2 linked regions of the Arabidopsis thaliana genome follow. The protein of the gene in region 2 interacts with the protein of the main gene of each other region in a pairwise test. Each region holds a gene or a part of one and is shown on either strand. Other genes may lie near its edges.

Evidence for each region. The genes of interacting proteins can lie anywhere in the genome.
Region 1: the proteins of AT5G49420 (region 2) and SAC51 interact in a two-hybrid assay, tested with the Arabidopsis thaliana proteins (one large-scale study listed by BioGRID).

Annotation. Positions count from the first base shown.
Region 1 is NC_003076.8:25,728,861-25,735,496, reverse strand, and holds SAC51 (transcription factor SAC51), read left to right. Parts: upstream 1-2,183; 5' UTR 2,184-2,349; intron 2,350-2,673; 5' UTR 2,674-3,169; intron 3,170-3,267; 5' UTR 3,268-3,431; intron 3,432-3,517; 5' UTR 3,518-3,560; coding exon 3,561-4,607; 3' UTR 4,608-5,162; downstream 5,163-6,636. Other genes in the region: FKBP12 (FK506-binding protein 12), read left to right, coding at 1-27, 209-270, 384-436, 586-687; Phototropic-responsive NPH3 family protein, read right to left, coding at 5,272-5,571, 5,643-5,921, 6,002-6,636.
Region 2 is NC_003076.8:20,033,211-20,038,519, reverse strand, and holds AT5G49420 (MADS-box transcription factor family protein), read left to right. Parts: upstream 1-2,314; 5' UTR 2,315-2,349; coding exon 2,350-3,354; 3' UTR 3,355-3,407; intron 3,408-3,604; 3' UTR 3,605-3,848; downstream 3,849-5,309. Other genes in the region: AT5G49430 (WD40/YVTN repeat and Bromo-WDR9-I-like domain-containing protein), read left to right, coding at 67-642, 850-908, 987-1,182; AT5G49410 (thiamine-phosphate synthase), read right to left, coding at 4,769-4,993.

The DNA of each region.
Region 1 (6,636 bases), 5.7 Mb from region 2:
TGGTGATCTATCCCAGAAGTTCTGGAGGTAAATAATTCTTTATTGTAAGCTTTGATTCTAGGATCAATAAAAAGATAATTACACTTACTTGTTCTTATCATCTACGCATACTCAGTTTATAAATCAATATGTTTCGTCTTAAAAGACTTATTTAATTTGGTATTTCCTTGAGCCTAACTGTGTTTTGTTCTTTGGTATATCATTATAGTACAAAGGACGAGGGACAAAAACCTTTCTCGTTCCAAATCGGTAAAGGTGCTGTGATCAAAGGTATAAACTTACTTACTCTGTTTTATGGTTAATCATATCATATCTCTGAACCTATTTGCCTCTTTTTTGGCGAGTGAACATCATATGATTCGATTGTTTAACTTTGCTTACAGGATGGGATGAAGGCGTTATCGGAATGCAAATTGGAGAGGTTGCTCGCTTGCGGGTATGTATACTCTGCTTCTCTCATCATGTTCCTCTTTGCCATCTATGCTTTTATGGCTCTCTGTTGAAGCACTTTTGTCTTTCATGATAGTTTGGGTGTTTCGTTATATGTTTAACATCTTTGGCTTGCGATCTTATCTGCTTCTGCAGTGCTCATCGGATTACGCATATGGCGCTGGTGGATTTCCGGCATGGGGGATCCAGCCAAACTCTGTTCTCGACTTTGAAATCGAAGTACTGAGCGTGCAGTAATGATCTCCCCAGCTCCTAAACTGTGGGTAGATTATTAAACAACCCTTTATGTTTATTGCTTCTGGGATCTTTATGCAACAAAACTTTGTGATGTCATTGCTCTTCTAAAACTCTTGGACAACGTTTTTATCTAAATAAAAGAAAAGACCCGTCTCGTGTTTCAGTTGGAATGTTTGTACTATATTATGATATTATTCCCGTTTTTTTATTTTGATTAAAATGGTTTTGTTTATTCAATCAAAATGCCAATAAAAAGCACAAAAGAATCAAACTAAAACTTCAATCTTAATGACATATCAGACCCAAAGCAAATGGTCTCAACCATAATGAAATTTGAATTGACCACTTCTAATTCAAAACACAGTATAAATTACTGTTCTTAATATCAAATCAAAGGAAGAAAAAAGACTAAAGTTAAAAACTTTTTCAGACAAGATACATAAGTTAACAAAAGAAAGGAAGAAAAAAGAGAGAGACGCGAGAGAAGTCGTGCGGGTAATTAAGCACTTAAAATTCCCGTGCAATTCTTTAATCATCACTTATGCTTCTTTTTTCTTTTTCTTTTCTCCATTTTCATTTTCATTCTTTTTACTTTTCTTTTTCTTTTCACCCACATTCCCCAATCACATAAGTCCTTTTATGAATAATAACTTTTAACATAAATGAAAGTCTACATAATATTTTTAAAAATAAAACAAAAGTATTGAGCTAATTTTGGCGTTGTATAAGCTAGATAGATGCTAAATTGTCAATTTAAATTAAACAATTAAAAAGAGTGGTTAGCTTTTATTCTTTTCCGTCACAATGGGTGTTTGAAACACACACAACACCGCACCTGAACAAATGTACTATTAAAATATAATTAAGGATGAAAAAAAGCTTGAGCACACTTTCACTAACTTAGCTTTCAATAAAATTAAAGAGGGATTATAACCTGAAATAGTATTTATTTAGAAAATAATTAAGGATATAATAAAGCTCGACCACACTTTCACTAACTTAGCTTTTAAAATAAATAAGAGAAAACGTATGAACTTTTACTTTAACGAATTAAGTATATATTAAAAAATTATATTGGTTAGAAAAATATTATTTAATGATAAAGTATAACCTGAAATTATGGACCGTGAGACTTTGTCATCATATATACCATAATTACGTATATACACGTTCGGCCCCCTTGTCCCATTTCTTTCAAGCAAAGCACAAATATAAACATTGCCACCGTTTTTAATTACTAGATTAATTTCCAAGTTACACATATTTTTCCTCTAAATAATTAAAAATTCAAATTGTACAACTTAAATTATGTTACCTTTTGCGTATCTTAGTTTTTTTCTTTTAAAAAAATATAGAATGAAAATTAATTTCGATATATAGAACAAACAAAAAACCGAAAAAATTGAGAATGTGAATTGGTAAAATAAAGTAATGAAAAGGGCAAAAGCGTCATAAAATCTTTTTATAAAGCCTTGTTACTCTTGTTGCCACTCACCTCTTTAGAAATATTTCGTAAAAAAAAATTCTCCGTTTAGACATTATTGTTCGTTGGTCACTTTCATCTCTCTTATCCCTTTGCTTTTCCATTGATTCAGCTCAAAAAAAAACAAAAAAGTCTCATCGTTTTCTCTGGATCTGACCGAAAGATCATTCCTTTCTAAGGTAATCAAAATCCAATTTTTCTCTCTTATAGTCTGTGTCACTGTTCTCTCTGTTTGTGTATCTGGAGACTGTGGTTAAAAACGGTTTGAGTCGTTTGTGAAATGGTAAAGTTCTGTAATTTATGTCTGAATCTAGCTTAGAACATTGTGATTTGTGTATATTCTGAGTTGTAATAGTAAAATGTAGCGTAATTTTGCTGGAATTGATGCTGTGAATACACCCACTTGCTAGACGTTTATAAATCTATGTCCTTTACTGTTTTTGATCTCTGGATTTAGCTCATTTTTGGTGCTGATGAGATTCTTCCTTCGACTTTTTGCACAGATACTAAAGTAGGTTTGAGTGATCAGAATCAATTAGAGTGTGTATAAGAGGAAGAGAAAGAGAAAACAGCATGTGTATTGCCGTATACCGTAAAGTTTTGAGCTTGAATCTGTATTGCCGTGTGATACTGTAGATTGTTTCACCTTTGAAGCAACACCTTCAAGAGTCAAATCCTTTTCTTTCTTATTCATCTTCCCTTCTTTTTCGGTATATTATAAACACTTTTGAAAATGGGATCACAACATTTCTATGTGTACCATTGTGAACAAAGAATCAGCTAGACTAAAAGCTCACTCTCCTTCCACAAACAAAACTTTCCTCCTTTTGGTTTTGGTATCTGTCTACTTTCTTCAATCAAGATTTCCTCAAAGTTATGGTGTGCCAATCACCTGGTAAGACAAGATTTCGAGGATTGAAGTACGAGACCGGAAACGCTAACGAATCAACAATTGTAGTGAGAGTTATTGAATGCTATCAACCGATGGATAATTGCCAGGTTTGTACCAGACAATAATGCTCTTGTTATCATACTTTTAGCTTATATAGTTCTAGTCTTCTAACACTGTGGTTTTGTGATTATTCTTTGTGTTTCAGGCTGAGTACTTCAGACTTCTACTCAAACCAGTCACGTAGTTGGTTGGTGACATTTCGCTGCATTTTTCAATCTGTGATTGTTTTTCGTTCGTCTTTCTTTTACTATTTTCTCGAAAAGGACACAAGAAGTATTGCATTCACTCAGTTGAGCAACTTAACAATCGGTATGCTCTTTTCCCTCTAATTACGCTTGTGATATTACTGACTTTATCTTTCTTGAGCTGATTTTTGCCTCTGTTTTGTCCTGCAGTGTTGTACTTTTTGAAGTTCCCTTGAGCTAAACTGCTAAGAGCATGCCTCTGGATAAGAGGCAACGGGATTTGCCTCTGGGCTTAAGTCCTCAAGCTTGCTTCAAGGATATAGTAGGTCGGTCTGTCCTTCCTAGAATTCCTCTCCCTGAGCTTGGGAAACTATATGCAGCTAAGCTTCAGGCTCGCTGTTTGCAGCCACCACCATTCCAGTCTTTGCTGTGCAGTCATGATAAGGAGTCTTATGGAAAAAGATTCTCACGGTCTGACATGCGGTCTTGGTGCGCTGCTGCTACTACTACTACTACTCCACTTGGAGCATTAGAGTCTTCTCAGAAAAGACTTTTGATATTCGATCAGTCAGGAGACCAGACTCGTCTATTACAATGTCCATTTCCTCTACGGTTTCCATCTCATGCGGCTGCAGAACCAGTGAAACTCTCTGAGTTACAAGGTATAGAGAAAGCTTTCAAAGAAGATGGTGAAGAGTTTCACAAGAGTGATGGAACAGAGTCAGAAATGCATGAAGACACTGAGGAGATCAATGCATTGCTATATTCAGATGATGATTATGATGATGATTGCGAGAGTGATGATGAAGTAATGAGCACTGGTCACTCTCCTTATCCAAATGAAGGAGTTTGCAACAAAAGGGAATTAGAAGAAATCGATGGTCCTTGTAAAAGGCAGAAACTACTGGATAAGGTCAACAACATCAGCGACTTATCATCACTTGTGGGCACTGAGAGCTCCACACAACTCAATGGATCTTCCTTTCTTAAGGACAAAAAGCTCCCTGAATCAAAAACCATATCGACCAAAGAGGACACTGGTTCTGGTCTGAGCAACGAGCAGTCGAAGAAAGACAAGATCCGCACAGCTCTGAAAATACTCGAGAGCGTAGTCCCTGGTGCAAAAGGAAACGAAGCGCTCTTACTTCTGGACGAAGCAATTGATTACCTAAAGTTGCTGAAACGAGACTTAATCTCCACAGAGGTTAAGAACCAAAGCTCCACCACTCACAAGTCACCAATCTTGTTGCTTAAAGAGACAACATGGGGAACAAGAAATCTGCAGACAGATAAGGCGTGAAAGATTCTGACGAGTTAAAACGTGTGAAGTGGGTTTTTGGGTACGTATCCTCTGCACCAGCTTTTTAGCTGTATATAGTGGACTACTTTTAAGTATTATATATGCTACTGCAAATTTCAAAAAGTTAAAGAAGAAAAGAGGTCACTTTCTTCTTCTCTCTGTGTGGAATGAAAAGCCAAAGTCGTCATGGTCATTGATGGACAATGATTATCTTTTTTGGCTGAGTGTGGATGGTGAAATCAAAAGGCAAATATTCAAAGTCTCATCTCAAGCTCGCGTGATCTATGAATCTCCCCTAAGGTAATAAAATATCTCTGACCCACACACACTCTTTTGTCCATATGATGACTAGATGGGTCCATGATTTTTATGAAATATTGATGTCATGTTCATGTAATTAATTTGAGTGTCTGTAATAATGCAAACTATTCCTTTGTCTTTTGCTTCAACCCACATGCTACTGGTATTGTTGTGTCTCTATTGTTGTATTGTTAAATGGTTTTGTAATAAACAAATGGCGTTTTTTGGTTTGTGATAAAAATCGAATCGTTTATGTCACTTATTCCATATTAGAAACCAATAAACATTACAAATTAGGAACAAACAAAAGCTTTTTCTTTTCAAAGAATCAAAATCAAGAAGATACAAAACCATCACTATCACTTCATGAAATTGAGTTCCTCCATCGTCTTGGTTTCCTGGGGGGTGGATGATCAACACCAGCTTGTTCTCCTCCAGAGGATATGTCATGGCTCTCCTGTCCACTCATCTTAGTCAGTTTACTTAGCTTCTTCCAACCGCTGGTCCAAGCCGAAGAAGATGGCGTGTTCTTCACTTTCCCCGTCTTCTCAAACTGTCGTTGCATCACTTCCATCTCGTTCTGAAGCTCGACGTACTTGGTCTTCACCGTCTCTAACTCGAACTTCAACGTGTTAATATCCTTCTTGGCTGCAGCCCATCCTTCCTGCATTCAAAGTAGAGGAATTAGAAAAAAGGAATTTGTGTGAATTTTGATGAGTGTTTTCTCTTACTTGCCTGAAACGATTGTGGTGTTGCTTCGATCAATGTCTTGCGATTTGGGATCATAGGCTGATACGTACCCATGGCTTCTCCTAAAGTGGTTGACTCCTTGAGTGATGTGTTGGCTAAAGCATTGCTGATCTTGACTTGCTCCGAGAAGAGAACTTGAACCACCACTCTCAATGGCAACCTCTCGTTCTGAGCCGCGTGCATACATGCGTCCATTGATAGTTTTTGACAATCCATCACTCGGCATAGCCGTTTCCTCTCATGCTCCGATAATGTCGGATGCGCCTATCACAACAAAATTAAGCCAAAAAAATGTTGAAAACTATTCTACGAATTTACCAAAAAGACCTTCAATATATATATACCTTGAGATATGAATCAATGGCTCTGTATAGTCCATCGTCACAAGTCCTAGCAGATTCCGGTAACGCCTCAGCCAAAACCTGAAACTTTGTCAACGGCAAATTCCGATCTCTAGCAACTTCGGTGAGATAACTATCCACAAGCCTCGCCACTCTCATTTTCGCATTCTGATTATTACCACCACCACCACCACCATTGTTGTTATTCCCTCTCGGGATATCGGCGTACATAGACTGCGACGGCGACGGCGACATTCGACTCGGACTCGATCCTTCCGTCTGTTCTTGCACAAGAAAATGTTCCAACAATCTCTGAACAAGATCAACATCGTACATTGTCTCTCCTTTATTGTTATAACCAGGAATCAAAAGATCTTGAAGCGTCGCTTGTTCGAATTGCATCCCTACGCGTTTCTCGAGCTCCGTGATCAACGCCGGAGCTACTTTGAGCATGTTTGCTGCTCTAAGAAGACGGAGGAGGAAGCTACAAGTGACGGAATCTTTCTGTGGAGGGATTATGCTGATTAAAGATTCGACGATCATTCGTTGGTCTTTTGGACTGATTCCTAGTCCGGCGAGACAAGCGACGGAATCTTGATGTCCGTTTGTTTTTCCGGCGGAGAGAACCATATGAAGAC
Region 2 (5,309 bases):
GTTGTTTCGTTTAGTCGACCTTTGGTATCAGTTCTCTTATCTGCGGCTGTTACTCTTATCTTTCAGGGGCATCAAGAATACTTAAACTTTAGCTCCCTGAGGGAAGTGGCTCCTTGGACATCAATAAAAGGAGGAAATATAAAGGCTGTAGAAATTTGTAAAGTGGAAAGTCTTGAATATGCAACTCTGCCTGGTTCTGGGGATAGCTGCTGCAAAATGATACTTAAGGTCATCGATCCAAACTCCGAAGTGTTCAACAAAGCTTTCAAACTTACGTTGCCTGAAGTGGTGACGTTTCCAGATTTTCTTGTGGAAAGAAGTCGGTATGAAGCAGCAATACAGAGGAACTGGACTTGCAGGGACAAGTGTAAAGTTTGGTGGAGAGACGAAGGCGAAGAAGATGGTAGTTGGTGGGAAGGACGGATTCTAGCTGTGAAACCCAAATCACCTGATTTTCCTGATAGTCCGTGGGAGAGGTACACAGTTAAGTACAAGAGTGACCCTGCCGAGACACATCTTCACAGTCCCTGGGAGCTTTTTGATGCAGATACCAAGTGGGAGCAGCCTCACATTGATGATGAGCAACGAAACCGTTTGCTCTCGGCCTTAACAAAGTTAGAGACTTCAGACAAGAGAACCCAGGTATGTGATCCTAATGAATATAATATCTCATGGTGTTAAATCTAGCCTATCCTCCCCACCAAATTCAGACTTCACCCAAAGAGCTTAGGCCCATGTTTACATTAGCTTAGTTGGTTTATAGATCACATTCTAAAGCTTAGTGGATTAAGACACAACATTATCCCAAGAACTAACAATATTGATATAATGTGGGCTAATTTGTTTCAGGATTCTTTTGGCCTCCGAAAACTGAACCAGACCGTGGGAAATTCCAGCTACTCCAACAGGTAAATTTCTACAACCCTGGAAGAGTCTTTGGTGGAGCCAAAGCTGACATGGTTTTGTTCTATGGATTCATTCTGCAGGTTCCCAGTTCCTTTGTCTCTTGAAGTAATCAGATCAAGGCTTGAGAACAACTATTACCGAAGTGTGGAAGCATTACGACACGACGTATCAGTTATGTTGTCCAATGCAGAGACTTTCTTTGGTCGAAATAAAAGTGTAGCAGCCAAAATCTCAAATCTCTCTAACTGGTTCGACCGGACGCTACCTTCTTCGTAGCTTATCATCGCGCCTATGTAGATAAACTGATGTTTTTTTTTCTCATGTTTCCAAATTATTTAGTTAGGTTTCCTGCAATTCTTTAAAAACTCTGGTTCTAATGGCAGAAGAGAATTTTAGGGGATTTTTTTTCCTTCAGTTAGAAAATTTTAGGTTTAGGGTTTAGTTGGAGATAATCTTTTTCTTTTTGAAATTGTATGTAAAGAGAAATTGGAGGAGAGGTCAAAAACGTTTGATGCTTTGGAATCATCTTCTGTTGACTGACCAACCCCAAATTTGAGAATCATTTCTTTTTCTGCTAATGGTACAACAACAGATGAAATTGTTGACATTACATGTGCAAATATCCAGTCTACAATAGATGATCAAGACAAAAACAGTATAATTGCAAATATTTTTGACAAAAAATTGATGAATACTAAGAAACAACGTTTTTATAGAAAGTCTGGACGATTTGGTTGCTCTAGACAGTGGTAGTAAACTGAGTGATAGATATTGCTAGGTGTTTTTGAAACACTGTCAAGGTTAAGCTCCAATGAAATCAGTCAGTGATTATATGTTGATGACCCTCTCTCAAGGTTTGTTCTATAGTCACCAATTACAATTGTTTCTTCTTGGTATTGATATTTTGAGTTTTGTGTGTTTAGGATAGCTGATAGGCTTTTTTGTTAGTTTTATTTGATGGACTATTGTTTTTCAGTAGGTCTTTAACAAAGTTTTCTTCTGCTACCAGGTCACCTTTGTCAACTCCATAGCCACATTTTAAGGAGTGAAGAACCAGAAAGAATGAACACGATAATGTGAAGAACCAGCTATATATTTGTTTGTCTCTCTCATAATAATCTGACAAAATTTTTTTTGTAGAATCTAGCAAAATAATATTTTTTGAAAAATAAAAATATCTCCAAATAAATCTGAATCATAATACAATAACTAAAAATTATCAAAATAAAAATAAATAAGACTGCACTAAAAAAGGATTCTGGTGGATAGTTGGGCTTAGCCCATACAAGATTACGGTCCATGTGGTTTAATCGGTTTAGGTGGATGATATTGATATGGGGTTTCGATATTTCCCTTATATATATGAGACTGAGAGATAGAAGAAGCCTTCACTTTTCAATTATCTTTCTCCACACTCAACAAAATTGAGAAAAATCAATCAGAATGGTGAAAAAAGGTGGCACGAAGAGGAAGATTGCGATTGAGACGATACAGAAGAGAGATTCCCTTAGGGTTACCTGCACCAAACGCCGTGAAGGTCTCTATAGCAAAGCCTCTCAGCTTTGTCTTCTCTCAGACGCACAGATCGCTATCTTAGCGACTCCTCCTTCTTCTGAATCCAACGTATCCTTCTACTCTTTCGGTCACTCCTCTGTTGATGCCGTTGTCTCTGCTTTTCTCTCCGGACAACGTCCTGTTCCGAAGGATAACAAAGAGACGAGGGAGGACGTTGGTATCTGTTTGACTCGCAATAATCTAGGGTTAGGTTTTTGGTGGAACGACGAGAGCCTTGCCAGATCGGAGAATCCTCAAGAGATTAGTGAAGCGATCGACTCTATGCGGACGCTGTTGAGGAATCTCAAGGAATTGCGTGCGGATGAAGCTTTAGCCTGTAATCAAGCTTTCGTTAATGATCGCGAGGACCTGAAGAACAACGACAAGTGCGATTTTGTTTCAGACCACGAAACTCATGATCAAACCCTAATTCTTCAGTCCGCTTCTCCAATTTGTTGCATCCCAGAAAATCTCAACGAGATTACTCAAGAGCCAAATCAAACCCTAAATATTCAGTCGAGTACTTCTGCAATTTGTTGCGTCCCTGATAATTCACCTGAAAATTTCAATGAGATCACTGAAGAACAAGATCAGATTCGCTCGATTTGTGAAACTTTTTGTGTTATGGATAACAACGCTGCTTTACCTGAAATGAACCTGGATTACGATCAAGACATTGGCTTCGACACGCCTTTTGAGAGCGCGCTAAATGATTGGTTTTCGGACAACACTACTCATCAGGAGATTAGTGCAAGTATTTTGAACGCTGTTGTTGATGATCAAGTCTCGGTGGATCTAACTCCGTTTTCTTATTTTCAGAGATGTTTGGATGGAGATAATCTACGATTCTCTGATTGTTTCAAAGACTTTGCAAACACTATTTCAGCACTTTGAAGATAATTTCTCTGCAGTTTTCAAACTAACTTCTAGTTACTTCTTTATTATATGTATGTATTGATTCTGCTAATTTTGGTTACAGATATGTTTTAGCAATGTAATGAATGAAAGGGTCTGGTTTGACCTCGATCAGTTTTCCATACATATATGTATGAGGGAAATTGATCGAAATCAAACTGGTTCTCTGCTTCATCAGTTTGGTTTAATGATAATATTTGTCTTCTGTTTCTATGTTTTGTATTTGTAGTTTCAAGTCCAAACTCATGCGATGAGAACATGACCAAGGCAACCAAACCACTTGAACCACAAAAAGACGAGAAGCAGCTTGTACCGGAGGAAGCATTAATCGTTCTGGCGGGTCCTCTAACAAGATCAAAATCTAAGAAGTTCAACCAAGCTATCAATGGACTACTCAAGGAGCTAAAGAAGAATCAAGAAGACGTGACTCAATCCTCCTTCATAGTGATCACGGCTCAAGAGGCTCGGTAAAGGGTTAAGTGTTGCTTATGCATTCTTTTTCCCTTATCAAGTTTTGTCCCAATGGGTTTTCTTGACAAGGTTTTTAATGAGGCCTAAGGAACACTTTCAAGCCTCCCTTTATCAGCTCAATTCGTGGTCCAAGGCCCACTCACAATGCCGTGGCCCATTTTCTATTTTCTCTTCAAACTTTGCATTTATTGTTTTTGTTATTTCCAAAACTCTTTGCATGAGTGTGTACTTGTGCATGCTCTTGCATGTCTTTCTTCTCTCACCTCTTCCCCTTCTTCCTCCTCTCCTATATAAACTCATTGTAGTTCTCATTTGTAATCATCAAACATTTTAATCAAAAACTTTCTCTTTCACTTGTTTGATCTGAAAAGTGTGTAGTATCTTTTCAACTTGTTTTCTTCTTAGTGTGTAATATCTAAGTTGGATCCAAGCTCGTAGTCTAAGAGTCTTTCATCACTCTTGGAAGTACAATTCGTTCCCCTTTCATTCCGCTGCATCCACTCGATCTCGTCGCCATCCCCATTCATCGTCTTTCCACCGCTTTGATTAAGATCAATCCATTATTCACTATCAACTACATCATTTCCAATTCAAAACCAACAAAGTGAGTCCTTGGAGTATAGATCCACTTCCAGGAGTGTATCATCATGTCTTTTTAATATGACAACAGAATCAGGTGAAATTTCGATTATATACATAAAGTTAACCAACTGGTATGCAGTTGTATCATTTACACATTCTTCAACTGTAACAACATCAACTTTCATCTCATGTCTTTTCATATTCAATTGTCACGAGAATCTAGACAAGGAATCTTCAGATGCAGGCTACATATATGTGCTATTGATTTTACTAAGGTGATCATTAATAACTGTAAGAGGAAGATTCAAGAAACAAAGCCTTAAAACTTAACAGAGTCGGCTCAGGGAAGTTTAGGAGGGTGGCCAGAGGATTTTCCTGTGAGATTTTCCGGTGGTAACTTGGGGAATTTAGAAGAAGGGTTGTGTTTAGTGAACCAAGTAGTGTACAAGAATTGCTTGTGAGGACCAACATGGTTACATATCAGCTTCAGCTTCTGTCTCTCTCTCATCCACCTTAGTATTATCTTCATGTGACGCTTGCTCGTCAGCCCTCTTAATCCCACTTCCTGTTCAAAAACATTTATACCAATTATTATCAAATTGAAAACTACAGTTTTGTGCTGACTATCAATGGTGATGATACTTGCATAATCTCTGTTTGAAAGCTAACCAACAACGATTCCACTTCTCTAAGAGTTATCGTTACTTAACACATCACCAATTGGTTTTGAGACAGTGTCTATGAACCTTAACATTCTCTACCTATAGTTATAAAATTTCAGGTCCAAAACCTCTAACAAAGAAAGTGAAACCATCTAGTAATGTAGAAGAAGAGTATTATATCAAAATCGATTTTGAGATATCACTCTCTCTACCTTTGGA